4 linked regions of the Arabidopsis thaliana genome follow. The protein of the gene in region 4 interacts with the protein of the main gene of each other region in a pairwise test. Each region holds a gene or a part of one and is shown on either strand. Other genes may lie near its edges.

Evidence for each region.
Region 1: the proteins of PTR2 (region 4) and SUC1 interact in a protein complementation assay, tested with the Arabidopsis thaliana proteins (one large-scale study listed by BioGRID).
Region 2: the proteins of PTR2 (region 4) and AT1G80510 interact in a protein complementation assay, tested with the Arabidopsis thaliana proteins (one large-scale study listed by BioGRID).
Region 3: the proteins of PTR2 (region 4) and NHX3 interact in a protein complementation assay, tested with the Arabidopsis thaliana proteins (one large-scale study listed by BioGRID).

Annotation. Positions count from the first base shown.
Region 1 is NC_003070.9:27,052,410-27,056,981, forward strand, and holds SUC1 (sucrose-proton symporter 1), read left to right. Parts: upstream 1-1,620; 5' UTR 1,621-1,924; coding exon 1,925-3,184; intron 3,185-3,270; coding exon 3,271-3,334; intron 3,335-3,473; coding exon 3,474-3,691; 3' UTR 3,692-4,055; downstream 4,056-4,572. UniProt on the Arabidopsis thaliana protein: Responsible for the transport of sucrose into the cell, with the concomitant uptake of protons (symport system). This transport is both voltage- and energy-dependent.
Region 2 is NC_003070.9:30,271,113-30,275,414, reverse strand, and holds AT1G80510 (Transmembrane amino acid transporter family protein), read right to left. Parts: upstream 2,567-4,302; 5' UTR 2,316-2,566; coding exon 846-2,315; 3' UTR 524-845; downstream 1-523. Other genes in the region: AT1G80500 (SNARE-like superfamily protein), read right to left, coding at 2,984-3,076, 3,161-3,246, 3,390-3,451, 3,523-3,608, 4,140-4,220.
Region 3 is NC_003076.8:22,468,734-22,474,518, forward strand, and holds NHX3 (Na+/H+ (sodium hydrogen) exchanger 3), read right to left. Parts: upstream 3,974-5,785; 5' UTR 3,853-3,973; coding exon 3,688-3,852; intron 3,578-3,687; coding exon 3,459-3,577; intron 3,362-3,458; coding exon 3,264-3,361; intron 3,156-3,263; coding exon 3,096-3,155; intron 2,998-3,095; coding exon 2,951-2,997; intron 2,870-2,950; coding exon 2,675-2,869; intron 2,595-2,674; coding exon 2,548-2,594; intron 2,443-2,547; coding exon 2,376-2,442; intron 2,280-2,375; coding exon 2,179-2,279; intron 2,095-2,178; coding exon 1,993-2,094; intron 1,731-1,992; coding exon 1,586-1,730; intron 1,471-1,585; coding exon 1,408-1,470; intron 1,297-1,407; coding exon 1,213-1,296; intron 1,117-1,212; coding exon 820-1,116; intron 662-819; 3' UTR 512-661; downstream 1-511. Other genes in the region: AT5G55460 (Bifunctional inhibitor/lipid-transfer protein/seed storage 2S albumin superfamily protein), read left to right, coding at 1-280, 387-400; SVL1 (SHV3-like 1), read left to right, coding at 5,544-5,682. UniProt on the Arabidopsis thaliana protein: May act in low affinity electroneutral exchange of protons for cations such as Na(+) or K(+) across membranes. May also exchange Li(+) and Cs(+) with a lower affinity.
Region 4 is NC_003071.7:485,594-490,477, forward strand, and holds PTR2 (peptide transporter 2), read left to right. Parts: upstream 1-1,804; 5' UTR 1,805-1,948; coding exon 1,949-2,005; intron 2,006-2,260; coding exon 2,261-2,578; intron 2,579-2,656; coding exon 2,657-3,213; intron 3,214-3,288; coding exon 3,289-4,114; 3' UTR 4,115-4,348; downstream 4,349-4,884. Other genes in the region: AT2G02050 (NADH-ubiquinone oxidoreductase B18 subunit), read left to right, coding at 4,431-4,742. UniProt on the Arabidopsis thaliana protein: Peptide transporter. Mediates the transport of di- and tripeptides. High affinity, low capacity transporter. Can also transport histidine.

The sequences.
Region 1 (4,572 bases), on a different chromosome or scaffold from region 4:
ATAAATTGTTTGCACAACCTATTCATATAGTTAAAATAAGCGAATAGAGAGATAATTGAAACTACAGTGAAAATTAACAACAAATGGAACATACGTCCAAGTAGTTGAGACTTGAGGAGTAGAAAGACAACGTAAGGAGTTGACAAACATGTGAGCCATTTGAGACTAATTCACAGACAACTAAAATCCAAGAGTTATACTAGTAAATGCTTTGGTTATTTTAATATATTTTCAAGTCGTCTGCCCGTTGAAAACTGGAGAAAATGTATATAGAGTACTATTCAGCTCGAAGACAAAAATGTAGTGACTAAAATTAAAATGCTTAATTGGTCGGATAAACAATCCAAAATAAATGGGAAATGAGTTTTGAGTTGCGATCGTATCTTGCATTACAAGAAGCAAATTTTAGGGTTAAAGTTTCTGTCACATAACTCCGTTACACAATTCGCTTAATTTTGGATATTTGACAGAAACTAATTAATATGTAAACTTTAATATATATATTGGATTTTAGGCAATTTAACAACTAATTAGTGGCGGACAAATACTGATTATTTTCCCTTTATATATATATATATATATAATTGAATGCTTCTATATTTGTTATTTTGTTGTCACAATGTTTTTTTTTTTAAAAAATTAAATTTGATATCCTTCAGTCCATCACTAGTTAACAACATTGCCAAAATATACTATCTTTTCGTCGAAAAAAAAACTCACCATACAAACTAAGTGATTTTTCAGTAGTTTGTGATCAATGCAAAAATGATAAAATTAATTTAATGTTTACAAAGCTGATGTTGGGTCGAAAGACTTGGACGTCAAGGATAACATTTGGTTCTAAAATATATGGACGTGAAAGATAGCATACCATCTTTGGGACTGTTCGGATAAGAATGTGTGTGCATTAGTTTTGGAAAGTGTTTGGCCACTCGGATCTTTTTGTGATAATCTCCAGACTATGAATATTGCGGAAATATAATCCATGATCAGAGAATATTTGGCGATGCTTGATCCATGACCGTAATTGGAGCCGGATATGTTATGATTTGATCTACAACTATTATTACGCTAGATAAGCCAATTAATTATGGTAGGTGATCGTGAATATAACTTCACTGTCCGAAAAAGAATAGTGTATATGTTGCCCTGAACCATCTATCTCATTAGGTGCTATGAACTAGTGAGTTTTAAGTATAGAGGGTGCATATAAGTCGTTTTTCCATCTTAAATCAAAGACATTTCTTAGTATCTTCTAGATATTTCATTCTTTTAGTACCATATAAATTAGGGATTTGGACAATTCACAATTATTTATTTTAAACCAAACAAAATAATTGTTCTCCGATAATCAGATGTGACTTATGTGATATAGTACATATAAATATACACACTGTTTAAATTTGTCTACCCAATCGGAATCATAGAAACTTTATTGTTTACCCAAACAAAACGGTACTGAATATCGGAACTTTTTTTATTAAAAAAAAACTGTGAGAGAGAAATTGAATCAACGTCCAAGTCACTTGATGCAAGAAAAAAGCGAAACCAATTAAATTCCCGTAAAAACAGAACACAAAAGAACAGGAGAGTTAATGTTCTAACTGACACGTGTCCCTACCTTGCCATACACTCACACAATTAAAATTTCTAACTCTGTCTCTTATCCGAAAAATAATCATCTCCAAGTGTAATAAGAAAATCAAAATAAAACTCTCATTTCTTCTTCTTCCTCGCCTATAAATACAACTCCATTCTCTCATCTCCTACATCACAAAACAAAAACCTCACTTAAAAAAAAAAAACAGAAGACAGAAAAAAACAAAAAAAAAAAGAAAAAGAAAAATAAACAAATTTTCTTTTCTTTTTTTTCCTCTAAAGTTTCTATTTTGTCTATTCGTGTTTTTTTTTTTACTTCCTGATAATGGGAGCCTATGAAACAGAAAAACCAACTAAAGATGCGGCGGCTCTAGAGACACAGTCGCCGGAAGATTTCGATCAACCATCTCCGCTTCGTAAAATCATCTCCGTCGCTTCCATCGCCGCCGGTGTACAGTTCGGGTGGGCCTTACAGCTCTCTCTTCTTACTCCGTACGTTCAACTCCTCGGAATCCCTCACAAATGGTCATCTCTCATTTGGCTCTGTGGTCCAGTCTCCGGCATGATTGTTCAACCAATCGTCGGTTTCCACAGTGACCGATGTAGGTCCAAATTTGGTCGCCGTCGTCCTTTCATCGCCACCGGAGCCGCACTCGTCGCCGTCGCTGTTTTCCTCATCGGTTACGCTGCGGATTTCGGTTATAAAATGGGAGATAAACTCGAGGAGAAGGTTAAAGTTCGAGCTATAGGGATCTTTGCTCTCGGGTTCTGGATCCTCGACGTAGCCAACAACACCTTACAAGGACCTTGCCGTGCTTTCTTAGCCGACTTAGCCGCCGGTGACGCTAAGAGAACGCGAGTCGCAAACGCGTTTTTCTCTTTTTTTATGGCGGTTGGAAACGTTTTGGGTTATGCGGCTGGTTCGTACACTAACCTCCACAAGATGTTTCCGTTCACAATGACAAAAGCTTGCGATATCTATTGCGCCAATCTCAAGACTTGTTTCTTCTTATCCATCACTCTCCTCCTCATCGTCACCGTCACGTCTCTTTGGTACGTTAATGACAAACAATGGTCTCCGCCGCCGCGAAATGCCGACGACGACGAGAAGACCTCAAGCGTTCCTTTGTTCGGTGAAATCTTTGGAGCATTCAAAGTCATGAAACGTCCCATGTGGATGCTTCTAATCGTCACGGCCTTAAACTGGATCGCTTGGTTCCCATTTCTTTTGTTCGATACTGATTGGATGGGTCGTGAAGTGTTCGGTGGAGATTCAGATGGAAATGAACGATCGAAGAAACTATACAGTCTTGGAGTCCAATCTGGTGCAATGGGATTGATGTTTAACTCTATAGTTCTTGGTTTCATGTCACTTGGTGTTGAATGGATTGGTCGGAAATTAGGAGGAGCTAAACGGCTTTGGGGTATTGTCAATTTCATCCTAGCCGCTGGTTTGGCCATGACGGTTCTCGTTACGAAATTCGCCGAGGATCACCGGAAAACCGCCGGTGATTTAGCCGGACCGAGCGCTAGTGTTAAAGCTGGAGCTTTAAGTCTCTTTGCTGTTCTTGGTATCCCATTAGCTGTAAGTACACTTTTGTGTTGTCTTGTTAAAAAACTTTTTGCTTTGCTTAAACTAACATTAATCGATTCGTTTTTTATTATTTACAGATTACTTTCAGTACTCCTTTTGCTCTAGCATCCATATTCTCAAGCTGCTCCGGTGCAGGCCAAGGTAAATATATACATCTTTAATATTAAAGTTACTAAAGTTACAAATATGTGGGACCGTAACTATTATATTTTGGTTTCATCCACCTTATGCAATTATAACATAGGTATTTAAATTGTTTTTGTGATGTTTTGATTTACAGGACTTTCATTAGGAGTTTTAAATTTGGCGATTGTGATACCACAAATGATAGTCTCACTAGGAGGTGGACCTTTCGACGCCTTGTTCGGCGGTGGAAACTTACCGGCGTTTATCGTTGCAGCAATTGCAGCGGCGATTAGTGGAGTATTAGCGTTAACCGTTTTACCTTCACCACCACCGGACGCACCCAAGGCAACGACCATGGGAGGATTCCACTAGTTTACTATTTTTTTTTTTTAATGAAACTCATCAAATACAGTATTACTGTGCGAAACTGCAAAAACCCAAATAAAAGAAAAGAATGGATAAAATGATAAAATCTAATAAACCTTGGGTCGTCTGTATTTCACCCTTTTTTAGTTTTTTTTCTTCTTTTTTTATAACTTTTGTCACTTATTTTAATTTGAAATAGAATGTTTTTTTTTTTTGCCCTTAAATAAGATTTGTGTGTTGAGTACAATTGTTTACTGTTTGCTTCGGTAGAACAAATATCCAACTAGAAAGTAATTCCCTCTACCCTCAGAAAAGAAAATTTTGATAATAATGTATGGCAATTCTTTTATATATAGGGAACAAGTTGAACAATTTATGTAGTTTAGAACGGTTTAGGCGATAAATAACCATTAATAATACCAGTTAAATTAATTAATATGATTAATAATTTTAAAAATACTTATTAATAAATATTAAAACAATTCTCATGTAAGTACATAAAATATAAACCTAGAAGATATTAAAATATTAAATATTAAATAAGAAACCTTAAATATTCTTGCAAACAACTAGTCCAATCAATATGACATTTTTGTATTCTATAAACACACTGTATTATAATATAAACTATACAGTATGTTTCTTAGCACAGTATGACACTTAACAACTTGATGATTTATACTAGGCAACAACCAATGTTTTTGAAGATCATACAATATCATTTATAAGTATATCATTTTTTATATTACAAAATGAAAGATTGTTTTGGTCAACAATATGCGGGCTTGAACCCTCAGTGGCGATACAACATTTTACATATCTATATATAAGTTTTTTCCACCAATTTTTAGAATATTTGCCTAAAATATAAGAATGTTTATACTGCT
Region 2 (4,302 bases), on a different chromosome or scaffold from region 4:
TTTCATCTATCACAATCAGAATATTCGATAAATTAATATTTATATACTTAGAAGCTTATAGTTCATATAAAAATAATAATAATATAGATCAAATGGAAGACACGATTGGTGATCACGGGTCATGCGCATGTGGAATTTAAAAGATATTGTTCATATGCACTTACCAGTCACTAGCTTCCACTTCTAGTTTCGGTTTGCCCACATTGTATGCCATCTACTGATAATGATCTATTTTTTAGTATACCATGTAAGAACTGAATTAGAAGTTTTGCTTAGACAAATCCGAGGCAAAGTCGTTGGATCAACATATAATTATACCATTTTTTAAAGGCACACGGATCAGAGGTGTATTTAAGTTGGGTATTAGAGATCTTTAGTGATAACCTTTGAGTCTAACTTAAGTTTCGTTACTTTGCTTTCATTTCAATAGTACCAGTCCGAATGATTCTAACAACCACCTTAATATATTCATTGGTTATTTCAGGTACCTAATTCTGGTTAAGAGTAGACCAACTCGGTTTTTCAAACTAAATTCATCTACTAACATCAGTCCACAAACGATCCATGAACACATAAAAGAATGATTCGCAGCCAGAAAAAAAAGGAGGAGATTTTCTGTTAAGAAAAACAGAAAAAAAATGCGTATATATAATAAAATCATAAGAATCAGGTGTCTGTATACATATAATTCACAAACCGGAAATCTTTAGGCTTAGCCTGAACAAACGCCATTGATCGACATCCTAAAGGTGCATGTAGCAGTCGCTGAAGATTTCCGGTTCGGTATTGGACTGAGAATCTCTGACTATATAAATCTACAAGATCCTGGAAAACTGCTATAAGTATCAATCTGATTTGCTCTCGAGGCTGTAAATGTTGCCAATGGTTCCAACAATGCTAACCACTACGGCCAAGATTAGCATCAGCCATGACACTGATCTTTCCACGAAGCTTAACGAATTGCTCTGTTTCCCTAACCGCAATGCGATCAGAGCAGGGAATGTAAAACCAAGTGAAACAGCTGATGTTGCGCCTGTGAATTTGAAAGCAGTCCATATGTTTGGTATCATCGTTGAGCCAATGTAAATAAGAGCCAGCAAGACCACAGTGAGTCCCAAAGATCTCTTTTTGCTTTCGGATAGAGGAGGCGAGCCTTCAAACAGTAAGGTATTGACGGTTTCTCTCAAGGAGAAATGGATCACAGGGAAGACGAGAACTAGATGAAGAATGTAGCCGATTCTGACAATGTAATTCACCGCAGAGCTGAACCGGATACCGAGATCTTGATCAAAGTTGGTCAAGATATCTGATTCGGTGTCCTTGCCGAAGAGGAGATAACCCGATACAGCAGTTGAAGCGTAGACAACAACACAAATGGCTGTTGTGATTCTCCCAACTCGGTTCATCTTATGAGGTGATCGACCTTCAAGCTCGTTGTATATCGGCTGAACATTGAAGTGACAAACGTATGCGTTTGACATAATCGGAATGACCACAAGAAGGTCCAAAATTGCTTGTTTGGAACCAAAGTCAGGAGACAACCTTGGAGGGTCGATAGTTCCTTCGATAAGCTTGATGGTGGCGACAACAAAACAGACAACCACAAAGACAACAGCAAGAGCAACAGAAGCAGCTGATGTAACGCTCAAGGAATCAATCTTGTTCAAAGCACAGAGAGGAGCCAAGAAGATGACCATAACAATCAAAATCAACACTTTACGGTGATCCCAGAACCCATTCCCTAACCATTGATCCAAAACCCCAATGTGATGGAGAGAACCAGACATAACATCGCCCATAATAATCAAGTAAACAACGAGAACGCCACCATTGTTGACAATGATACAAATCTCAGACAAAACCCTAGCGGTTTTCCCCAAAGCGAATTGAACAACCTCGCCGTAGGATTTGGACTTGTAAAGAACAGAAAATCTAACCAGAAGCTCAACACTAATCTCAGACAAAAGAGCCATGAGGATAATCAAAACAAACCCTAGAACCAAGCCGAGAACTTTCATGGTGGCGGGCAATGCCATGATCCCGGCGCCGATAATAGAAGTGGTGAGATTGAAAACAGCACCGTAAATCCCAGATCCTTGATTGGATGATTTGCCATGAACGAGTGGGTAATCAGCGACATCGAAATCGAGATCATCAGCATCTTCACCCCCAACACCATTACGGGCATCGTCAAAATCATTGACGAAGCTTTCTTCATCAGAAGGAAGCAACTTGTTTCTGGGTTTCCCATTAACCGTCGGTTTCTGTAACTCAACGTAAGAAGTTTTGGAAATGACAGAGTAACTGCTATCCATTCGCAAGATCTGCTCTCTGATTTTATTTTTAAAAAAGAAAGAAGAAGATAAACTTTGTGATTATCCGAGATCGAAGAAGACGAAAGAAGAGACTTTTATGAATCTCGACCAAGAGAGAGAGAGAGAGAGAGAGAGAGAGATTGTTCAAATCGGATTAAGGGTCAACGTCTCAATTGGTCGTCCTTCCTGCCTCGTCGGCGAGCGATACACAGAGATTTGATAAGTTTTGGGAAACTTCTATCTTCCGATTGGTGCTTTTACTTCACATGTGGCCTCTTTATTAATTGATTAATCGTCTTTTTAAACTTCAATAAAGTACCTAATTAATTGCGGATTAGCAATTAAAAGTGTCACATTAACTTATGTTAGGCGTTTGGTCATGTTTCAGAAAGATATACATCGTACATGTACGCTTGTTTTCCAATAGATTCTGAGGAAAAGAGAGACTTTATAATAACAACCAAAGATGAAATTATTTTGGATTGAATGGATCATTCATTACTCATACTAAACAAGGAATCCCATTCTTATTAAAATGTTGCTTGCAAGTTAGAAATAACAGAAATCCAGGCACTCAAAAAGAAAACAGAAACAATTGACTTGGGAACTATGCGATATGGGTACAAGAAAAATTTGATCACCAAATGCAAACAGAATCTCCGTCTTCTCTACAGGTACTTTCTTGCAAGTGCACGTACTTTGGTGTCAAAATGTGACGACGTTATCCGAGAACCAGGAAGATACAAGGGATTCAGAAGAATCTGCATGAACAAATCATTTGGTTTCCATCAACAAAATCAGGACAGAACAAACAACTGCGAATTCATTTCATCAAGAAAATTTACCTTTATATAAAGCTCATGCACCTCTTGAAAGAAGCTCTTGATGCCGTCCTCATTCCGTGAATCATGAAGGAGCATCAGTCGGGTATGTGTTGATAAATTAAGGAAGAAACAGATATTTACAACTGCATAAGAATCTGTTATGCACAAAAGCCAATATACCAGCCTGACACTTTTTACATCAAATTTTTATTTGCACTTAAATCTCAAAGGGTCTAACGAAAAAGGATATGGCCTGCGGTAACATATACTGACACAACCAGATCGTTAAACCTGTCCACTGACTTCAAGAACCTGAAGACTTGTATGACAATGAGATGGATCCTTTAAAATGATAATATATTTTCACAAGAGACTTTACTTACATGGCACTTGTAGTCCATGCTAGGTCTTGGACAACATCTAACGCTGCATGTAATATAAATTGGTGCAACTGTGCAGCATCTTCTCTCTGCCAAATAGAGAGAATGGTGTAAGAGACTGATGTGCACTTATCGACTAGACCACATACCAATTGGTTGAAACATATATCTACCAGCTAGATGAAAAGATCAAGACAAAAACAGGAAAACTTCCGTCAGTAAGAAAGGATAAATAACTATGTGATAGACCAGAAACCAATGAGTCATGCAATAAGCAATAGAAGATCTTATAGAACTATATTATTAGAATTATCTAGTAAGAACAAGGCCTGCTTGCTTGGTTATGTAAAACAGGTTGAAACGTTCCTCGACCAAAAATAATTTAAACAATGGATATAGCAACCCTTTTCATATCACTAGCCAAATAAACAACGGTGACAATTAATAAATGAACTTTGCACCTCTCCCGTGGGTTAAATCTAGAGAGCTATACTATGACCATGAAACTAAGTCAAAAAGAAAGAGCTGGAGCCAGAACGGAGCAAAACTGCAGGAACATGTACTATAAACTTCAATGACTCAGATTCATACAAATAGAGAAAGTGGAGAAAGAAATGTACTTTAGCAGCAGATCCAACTTCAGCTTCATAGATGGGAATATCATTCCGGCCCACAATGATAAAGCAGGCAGTGTTAGCCATAGAATCCCTCGTCTCTAAATAAAGGAAATCCTAGATCTTGTGTCTCCTGAAATACCAAAATCAAACCCCAGATTTCAACATT
Region 3 (5,785 bases), on a different chromosome or scaffold from region 4:
GCTCTTGCAATAGTTTTAGCCGCCTTGGTGTTGATGGAAGAACCTACGAGCATTACCGCATGTAACATCAACGCAAACCATCTGGAAAAATGTCGTCCAGCCGTAATTGGAGACAACCCGCCATCTCCAATCAAAGAGTGTTGTGAACTCCTCCAAGCCGCTAATCTGAAATGCATCTGCAGATTCAAGTCTGTTCTCCCCGTTTTAGCGGTTTACCCATCTAAAGTCCAGGCTCTTCTGAGCAAATGTGGCCTGACAACAATCCCTCCTGCTTGCCAAGGTAAAATCAAAATACCATTAAGATACTAAAAACCGGTAGACTAGTAGGATCCCAATATGAAGTATGAAGTAAAAAAGGCTTACGTTTTGCTGTTCTGTAAGTGCAGCTTTGAGGAACTGAGATGGAGACAGACCGTTCTAGCAGACTTCACTCGAACTTGTCCTGCAACTGATCTGAAGTCTTACAATATGTCTTATGTTCCGATCCAAATAAATTACAAACTCGCAGTAATAATCGCAGCTTGTGTATATAGAAGAACCTTGTTGTATACATTTAACAAAAACTTTAAGAAACTGTTTTAGCTAAACCAACTATCCTACTTTCTTGACTATAAAAAAAACTAACTCATCATGATTTCCCCGCGGAGAACCCGGATCAATTCTGCAACACAAAAAGAGAGAATTGTTCGCTTATCATGATGAATATTGTAGGCACCTCTTCCCGGATGTACTTATTAATTCCGGTTACACATTATTGATCAAGTGAGGTGCGTTTGCTGCAAAATGTATAAATTTGTGTGGTAATAATGGAGGGTATACCTAGCATTCTGGTTGGTTTTCTCGACGAGGTCCACCGAAGATAGGCCTCATGTATGTGTCGTCAAACTTTCTCCAGTAGCGGTGGATGGTGTACACAGGTTGTTCCATCAGAAGGGAAATACTATCTTTAGCTCTATTGAAGTTGGTGGAAGCAGACTCGTCAAAGGAAAGAAGAGGAAGTGTCGCATCTTCTTTCGGAGAACCTGGCTCAGTGCGTTTACCTCTATTTCCGGTGTTGTGACTTGCATCTTGAGGAAGGAGATAATTCACAAGTGGTTTTGTGAGGAAACCAAAGACCTGTTTGTTACATGACAAAGAAGTCATTCTTTTGATCTTAACACAGAAAACTACCAGAACCAGTAGGGCCATATACTAAGGTAGTATTTGTTTTACCAGTGTAGTAAAGAGAACAACGATAGTGGTGTTGGTGACCATGGCAGCATTCACAGGATCCAATGTAACACCGGAGTATGTGAACTTGGCACATGAAAGATATACCAAAATGAGATATAATGGAAATGTTACTAATTCAATGTAAAAGTAATACAATAGAGATTAGAGATAATATGAATGTGCAAAGAGAAAAACCTGCTTGAAAGCCAGAGCAATTGAGACAGCACCTCGCATTAGACCTGCCCACCAAATGATCACCTATAAAGTATACAAAGAGAGAATTATATAACAGAAACTTTCCCATTCTCGGACCATTATTAATTTTTTATTTTAGTGCTTCTGATAATGTAACTGTAACAAACAAGAGCTAAACCTGATGCTTAAATGTGATAGACTCGTTTCTTTCAGTGTGCCTGTTCATGAAATTTGTTAAGACCGAGAGTGGAAAGACAAATGCTGCTCGTCCAAGCAATACTAATGCGGTTATGACACCGGAGACACCCAGAGTACCCCCAAAGCTGCAAGAAGATGATTAATGTTACAAGTCTTCATTGGGAAGAGATTTCAGAAACAACGAGTCACCACCACAGCTTAACTAACAGTTAATTGGCGATTAACTTCGTGTCAAGAGAGAAGAAGACATAGAGGATGTCTTTGGGATAATCTTGATTCTAGGTATGCATTTAAGAAATACACGAGGTTCATATCAAAATGCTGTGTATTGTTTTGACAAAACACTCTAAACGCTCTACCAGCTGATAAATGGATACGACTTTATACCTTAAGCTGCTTGTCTTCCACTTTGTAAAATCAAGAGCATCTGTTCCAACATACAGAAATATGAATGTCTCCGCAATAAAGGACAACATTGCAAATACATGCCTGCAAAATATAGATGCACAGTCAGACAAAAGCAATTCCTGCAAATTGAGACTTCAGCGAATAAACAATTGTCTGATACATTGCCTGGAAGTGATTCTTGAGCTCTCTGTCACGTTATATGATGCATAATGCGACATTAAAACACCACAGAAGAAAACAGTAAGAATTCCACTTAATGAGAAGAGCTGCAAGAGAACAACTATATTGAGTTAAAACAGAGAAATGCAGCACTTCAATTCCAAATGAAAACTAAAAAGTAGCGTTCATGACCAGTGTATTACCTCAGCCAACATATATGAAAGGTAAGCCATTAGAACCATGATGGCGAGTTCGCGTGTAGTAGAATGTCTGTCAGCAACCATATAACAAGATCAATATAAAGGCACATCTTATCACTAAAAAAAAAAAACTTAAGCTTGAGATGAAAAATTTGCAAGTTTGGTGTACTTTTACCTTCCAAAATACAAGGTTTTAAGAACAAAAGATGTTATTAGCCCCACCTGCAAGACATTCACAGTTCTAAGATTACTCATGATATGCTTCAAACAGAGTAAAAAACTATGCCAACTCAATAGCTTACACCAATTCCGAGAAGTGTGCTTGTTGAGAAGAGGTACAAAAAGTTCCCAAATACTTGCAGCGCCGTCCAACCGGTTAGGCTTTCAAATTGAATCTTTTGCACGGCGTTGAACAGTACAACTGAGGTTGCATCATTCACCACTCCTTCTCCAAAGACTAAGCTGTATAGCAATGGTGTTTCATCTTGATGGAGAATCTGTAAAAGTTTAAGATGCAATGTAAGAAAAAACTTTTAATAGAAGAAGTAGTAAGACAAAGAATCTTCTAAATCAAGAACCTGTAGAGTGCAAACAGTATCAGTTGATGAGAAAATCGTTCCTATGGCTGAATCAAAACAAGAAAGCATTCACTCTCGCAAACTGATAAGTAATAACCATCTCAACAAGAAATGAAAAGAAACATAGATCAGTGAAAAATCTTACCAAGATAGTCTCTAGCACTCAACCCCTTAAATCCCAACTTGGGAAACAGCCACCAAGTCCCTGGTTCACATTATAAAAACAACAAAAATAGAGATGGTAACAACTCCGAGATAATCAACTTTAAATCATATAGTCAAGTCATTCAAAGATTAATGAAATATTTTTTACCAAACGAGATAATGACAGTGGAGATGAAAACTCCAATCACACCAAAGGACATGATGGTTAAAAAGTTGTGAAAAAACTTCTTTTTCTTAACTTGGAACCTGCCACAACAAACCAAAAAATCTTCAGTCAATCACCATCATAGTGTAATCTAACCCATTAACCACAACATAGTAACCAAAACCATAGTAAGCTTACCCAGCATTGAAGATTATTGGAGGAAGAAGGTAAATGAAGAAGAGTTCTTCATCAAACACCAAAATATGTGAACTTTTTCCTTTACTAATAAGTAAGATCACTGTTCCTGATGCTGCTCCCTACTTGCAACAAAACCAATCAAAAATAGTGATAAAATTGTTCTTTAAGAGCAGAAAAGCTCAAAACTTTAGCTAAAACAAAAAAAAGAAGAAATTTTGAAGAAAATTACTACTAAAATGGCGGTAATAGATTCATTAACCCATCGATTCTCTTCAAGCAAGTGGCCGATAACTAAACATAGACAGAGAATGGCGATGAACACTGAGATTGGTATCACCTGAGGATGCTCAGCTGCTAGTTTATTCGTCACAAACTCTGTTAATCCGATACTCATTTTTCACTCGATAATGTTTTCGATTTCGTCGATTTTGAAAACACCAATCGCAAACGAAGAAGGCACACAGAGAACGATAGAGAGAGAGACGAGGAAAGAGTCAGAGAGTGAGGAGAGATTTGAACTGCGATGAACAAGGCGGTGGTTACAGGTGGCGAGGAGACGAAAGACACGTGGCATGTTTCCAACGTCATCAGACTGAGTAAACGTGAGGCTTTTTGGAATTGTACTGCATCTTGGGCCTTTTTAGGGCCCAAAACTAACTCATCATGTATTTTTTTCTTACCGGATTTGGGGATTTTTTTCTTTTTTCTTTTTTGGGTCTAACTAACTCGCGTAAATTGTTGTTCTTTTTCCTTAATTTATTTTTACCTCTTGTTCTTTATTCTGTTTATATAAAATTATGAAACTTGAAAACTCAATATTTATTACAACGAATTATTTGGTGAAGACTCGAACCAATCGAAATAAAACACTCTACTGAGTAACGGTCCCGGTTGCAACAGCCAAGACGCTAGAACGTGATCGTTTCGTTTGGTCGTGTTTTGATGACGTAAAAAGTGACTCAGCGACCTATTTCACCACGTGTAATCTTTAACGACCATGTTCTAGGACCTACCTGACTTTTAATCGATCATCCACCACCGCCTTCTCAACATTTTTTAAGATACTAGTATCATTATAGCTATAATATAAATTAAGAAACTTGTAAATATTATAATTAACGTGAAAACATAGAATTCGGATATATAATGTGTATATTAGATAAATAATAAATCTGCTCATATGTGATATGTATATGCATATATCATATATGTAAATGTAGCCATTATTGGAATGCGTATTGGGTAATGGGTAGTATCACTAGAATGATACAATTTTTCTTATATACAGAGAAGAGAAGAGGAAACAAGAAAAACAAATACGTTCCCCGCAGTAGACTTTTTATTTGTTGGTACCGTAGAGGAAAACAGATATACACCAATTACTATAGGAGTGATTAAGGGAGAAATTGCAGGGATATAATTGATATCTAATAGCCGTTTCTACACTAATCCTAATTATAACAAGACCAATGATTGACACATGTATATTGCAATTGCATGCATTATATAGTTTATTATTATGCTTGCTTATAGTTTAGCTGGTTTTGGAAACAAGTAGGTAGTAATAAAGAAAAACAAAGAGAGAGTAGGTCGTAATAAATGAAGAACGCATAACTATAAAAAATAAATACACAAATATATGTAAAACAATTGTTTGGTTTCTCTAGGTTGGAGACAACCAATCAAAAAATTATATTCTAATTTAAAATAAAACTTATTTAGTTATCCCATGAAAATTAAACTCTTGTATTCTCAAAAAAAAATTGAGTCAAAATTACACTCCCAATATTTTCTGTCTGCAATAAAGATATGGAGACACATTGAAAAACATTTTAGTTTATTTATGAAAAACCAAAAAAATAAAATTTTAGTTGATGTTTTCTTTTTAAAGTGGAAAAATGTGTCAAAAACAAAAAGTCGAAGTTCTTTTGTTTTCCCTTTTAAAATAATCAACGATCATATAAATTCGAATCCCACAAACCAAAAAGCTCTCTCTCTCTCTCTCTCTCTCTCTCTCTCTGAGTAAATCTCAGTTTTTGGTCGAAGTTGGTGAAGTCGCCGCCGGGACAACTCAGGTTGTTACAGATGATAAACATGCGAGATAATCCAACAATGCATGTCTTACAAGCTTCAAAGTTTCTATTTTTAGCTCTTATTTTGATCCAGTTGCTGTCTACTCAACTCTTTGCTCAAAGATCTAAAAGTCCATGGCAAACACTCACTGGTTAGTGTCTTCTATCTCCTTCTTCTCCTATTTATTCAATACCCTTCACTGTTAATCAATAAATCAGTAGAAAAGTTGCTTCCTTTTGAATCGTTTCATAGAA
Region 4 (4,884 bases):
AAAATGTTTCTTAGTTTAGGATTCCGACTCATTGCATATAAATTCTTAACACTTTGTAATCGTATAGGCAGATTGTTTTGTTTTTTTTTCTGTGATTATCTAGTTTTTCTATATAAAATTTTATAAACAAAATGATCGTTTGAAGAATTAGAGCATATTTGTCATTTGTTATTTTGACTAATCCATCTCCATTCAAATTGTCCAATTATGTTTAGTCAAATGAGTTTGAAAATTTTGCCTAATTTAATCATCCAAATGAGCAAAAGAATAAAGCCACACATTACTTACTAATAATATTAAAGCCCACATTAAAATAATTTCTCACGTAAAAAACAAATACTTACACAAACCTATATAATCTAGACTCTACTTCACTTGTTTGCCCTAAACCATCTATCATCTCTCTTTCAATTCATCTACACCTTATTTTTATATTTCTCAAATACTTTTCGAGAAAATTATATACCCTTTTTAATATACGACGAATGAAATCGCAGGAAGATAATCTTCTACTTGTTCTTCTACTCGAGGGGATAAAAAATTACGGACTTAAGAGATGGGATAAGATACTAGCATCACTTCTTCTATCCCAGCGAAGTATCGCTAAATGTAAAAAAAAATTCTAATCTTTCGTTAAACGAAAGGTAAATTATTTTCTCGAAAAAATTTGTGTATAGAATTAAAGGTTTTCTTTAGTCAATAGCTAATCAATCTTATCATTTATTTTCTACTAGTTTCTTATTTGCACAATACATTTGAGAAAATTATGTTATGTTTTCAAGAGTTTTGGGTTTTTGTAGAGTATTAGATAAAATCAATATTTTCTCTCTTGAGACTAGTTTCTTCTTTGCACCATACATTTGTGTTCTTTTTCATTTTCTCAAAGCTGTTTGTTTTACCGAATTTTCTCTTGGGTTGTGGAGAATATTTTTTTTTTTTAGTTTTTATAACACCTTATCTTATATAAAAACAAAAGAGTTTGTTTTTACAAGGGATGATGGATGATGAATCTATAGATGGTCGTAGTACCACACTCTCTATGGACTCAAGTTGTGGAGAATCTTTTTTTTTTTAGTTTTTATAACACCTTATTTGATATAGAAACAAATGATTTTGTTCTTACAAGAGATGATGGATGATGAATCTATAGATGGTCGTACCACATTCTCTATGCACCCTATGAATCAAGTTGTGGAATCAATCAAAGTTGGCCACATATAGTTATGAAATGATTTTGTGATAAAAACACAAATTAATTTCTATGTGAATCACAAAGAAAATATATATATATATATATAATTCCCATTTGAAGTTTAAGCACAGACCTTAGAAAAATATGTAAACAAAGCCGATGTCTATAGTCCAATAAAAACAAATTTCGCCGGGAAAAGGAATATAAAAAATTTGTCACATTTACCAAAAAATAATAGGAGAGTTTATATAGTTTCAACGTACAATTAATGATCTAGGTTATCGAGTTTTAATTTCCATTTCTCCTAATTTTGCTGACTTGAGCTACATATTATTGAGCATTCTTGTTCTTTCAGGGTTTATAGAGAGATTGGCTGATAATTACTGTTTGTTATCTGAGTCCCCAAACGATTTACTGATATCAACAACGTATTGATGATGTATTGTTTTAGAAACACATATATGTAAAAAAAAAATTCTTGATTAGAGTGATATCAACAACTTGAGACATGGACAGGTAACAGGTTGATCCACAATTCTATCTTTACGTCATAATAATAACAAAAAATTCGTAAAAAGATGAGTTTTGTTAATTACTTCTCTTATTATAATCAAAGTTTTGATTTTTATTTTCCAATAAGTCGCCGGGAAAAGTAAAATAAAAAGCCGTCACGTCTCCGATAAATAATAGAGTATCGTTAGATAGGTAGCTTCAACGTAAGGAATCTAAATTGGTTCAGCTCAAAAAACGAAAACGATGGGTTCCATCGAAGAAGAAGCAAGACCTCTCATCGAAGAAGGTTTAATTTTACAGGTTTGTTCAATTTCAATTAATCACTTAGGTTAGCGAATTTTGATTTTACTCAATTCCAAAATCTTGACTTTAGATTGATCTTATGCATTTTCTTTCTGGGTTTATTGAGATCTTTTCTGGGCAATCACTGTTTTATCTAATTGATGATTCCAATGTTTGAATTTTGCAAGTAGATATAGATCAAAGTTTCGAGCTTTGATACAGTTATAGTTTAGTTAGCTAATCAAAAATGTTTTGTGAATTTGTTTTAAGTAGGAAGTGAAATTGTATGCTGAAGATGGTTCAGTGGACTTTAATGGAAACCCACCATTGAAGGAGAAAACAGGAAACTGGAAAGCTTGTCCTTTTATTCTTGGTAATGAATGTTGTGAGAGGCTAGCTTACTATGGTATTGCTGGGAATTTAATCACTTACCTCACCACTAAGCTTCACCAAGGAAATGTTTCTGCTGCTACAAACGTTACCACATGGCAAGGGACTTGTTATCTCACTCCTCTCATTGGAGCTGTTCTGGCTGATGCTTACTGGGGACGTTACTGGACCATCGCTTGTTTCTCCGGGATTTATTTCATCGTAAGCATTGCTTCTCTGTGTAATGTTTGGTTTGGTTTGTTTGCTCCTGATTACTGATAGGTTTTTGTATTTGTTTAGGGGATGTCTGCGTTAACTCTTTCAGCTTCAGTTCCGGCATTGAAGCCAGCGGAATGTATTGGTGACTTTTGTCCATCTGCAACGCCAGCTCAGTATGCGATGTTCTTTGGTGGGCTTTACCTGATCGCTCTTGGAACTGGAGGTATCAAACCGTGTGTCTCATCCTTCGGTGCCGATCAGTTTGATGACACGGACTCTCGGGAACGAGTTAGAAAAGCTTCGTTCTTTAACTGGTTTTACTTCTCCATCAATATTGGAGCACTTGTGTCATCTAGTCTTCTAGTTTGGATTCAAGAGAATCGCGGGTGGGGTTTAGGGTTTGGGATACCAACAGTGTTCATGGGACTAGCCATTGCAAGTTTCTTCTTTGGCACACCTCTTTATAGGTTTCAGAAACCTGGAGGAAGCCCTATAACTCGGATTTCCCAAGTCGTGGTTGCTTCGTTCCGGAAATCGTCTGTCAAAGTCCCTGAAGACGCCACACTTCTGTATGAAACTCAAGACAAGAACTCTGCTATTGCTGGAAGTAGAAAAATCGAGCATACCGATGATTGCCAGTAAATATCCGCTTCATTGCTTTCCAGTAATGTATAGCTTTACTTGGTTTAACAAGTTATTCTGGTATGATGCAGGTATCTTGACAAAGCCGCTGTTATCTCAGAAGAAGAATCGAAATCCGGAGATTATTCCAACTCGTGGAGACTATGCACGGTTACGCAAGTCGAAGAACTCAAGATTCTGATCCGAATGTTCCCAATCTGGGCTTCTGGTATCATTTTCTCAGCTGTATACGCACAAATGTCCACAATGTTTGTTCAACAAGGCCGAGCCATGAACTGCAAAATTGGATCATTCCAGCTTCCTCCTGCAGCACTCGGGACATTCGACACAGCAAGCGTCATCATCTGGGTGCCGCTCTACGACCGGTTCATCGTTCCCTTAGCAAGAAAGTTCACAGGAGTAGACAAAGGATTCACTGAGATACAAAGAATGGGAATTGGTCTGTTTGTCTCTGTTCTCTGTATGGCAGCTGCAGCTATCGTCGAAATCATCCGTCTCCATATGGCCAACGATCTTGGATTAGTCGAGTCAGGAGCCCCAGTTCCCATATCCGTCTTGTGGCAGATTCCACAGTACTTCATTCTCGGTGCAGCCGAAGTATTCTACTTCATCGGTCAGCTCGAGTTCTTCTACGACCAATCTCCAGATGCAATGAGAAGCTTGTGCAGTGCCTTGGCTCTTTTGACCAATGCACTTGGTAACTACTTGAGCTCGTTGATCCTCACGCTCGTGACTTATTTTACAACAAGAAATGGGCAAGAAGGTTGGATTTCGGATAATCTCAATTCAGGTCATCTCGATTACTTCTTCTGGCTCTTGGCTGGTCTTAGCCTTGTGAACATGGCGGTTTACTTCTTCTCTGCTGCTAGGTATAAGCAAAAGAAAGCTTCGTCGTAGTAATGCTGTTATCTATCTACTTTCATTACATACAAAAGTTTGTTTCTTTCAACTGTAACTGTCTCTGTATCAATAACAACATTGCTGTGTACTTTTCCTTTCAATTTCAAAAGTTTAAGTCGCATTTGCAATATTATAAACAATTCAGGGTTCGAATACTAAATTGAGAGAAATTGTCCATAGGCTTAGTAAATCAAATGGGCTTTTGGCCCATATCAAACGGGCACAAATATGACCCGGAGAAGAAGAATGTTCCGGGTCAATAAAATCGAAGAAGAAGAAGAGAGTATCGTTGTGAGGTTTGGGGATCGCGAAAATGGAGGTTCCAGGTTCATCGAAGAAGATGATCGCAACGCAAGAAGAGATGTCTGCAGCTAAAATAGCACTTGGATCTAGAGATATGTGCGCTCATCTCTTGATTCCGCTCAACAAATGTCGTCAGGCTGAGTTTTACCTTCCATGGAAATGTGAAGACGAGCGTCACGTTTATGAGAAGTGTGAATACGAGCTTGTTATGGAGAGAATGCTTGCGATGAAGAAGATCCGTGAAGAAGAAGCTTTGGCTAAACAGAATAAACTACAAGGAAACGCTGCTGTTCCTCTTATCCCTAAAACTGCTAATGCTTAGGATTCGATTCCTTCTCCAATTTGCCGATTCCAGATTCCGGTTAGTCTATAGTTTTTCGATTTCTTGTGTTTTGGTTGATTTGATTGAATTGGTTTGTTTCTTCTGCTACATGATCAGATCTTCGTGTTCTTCAAATTCCAAA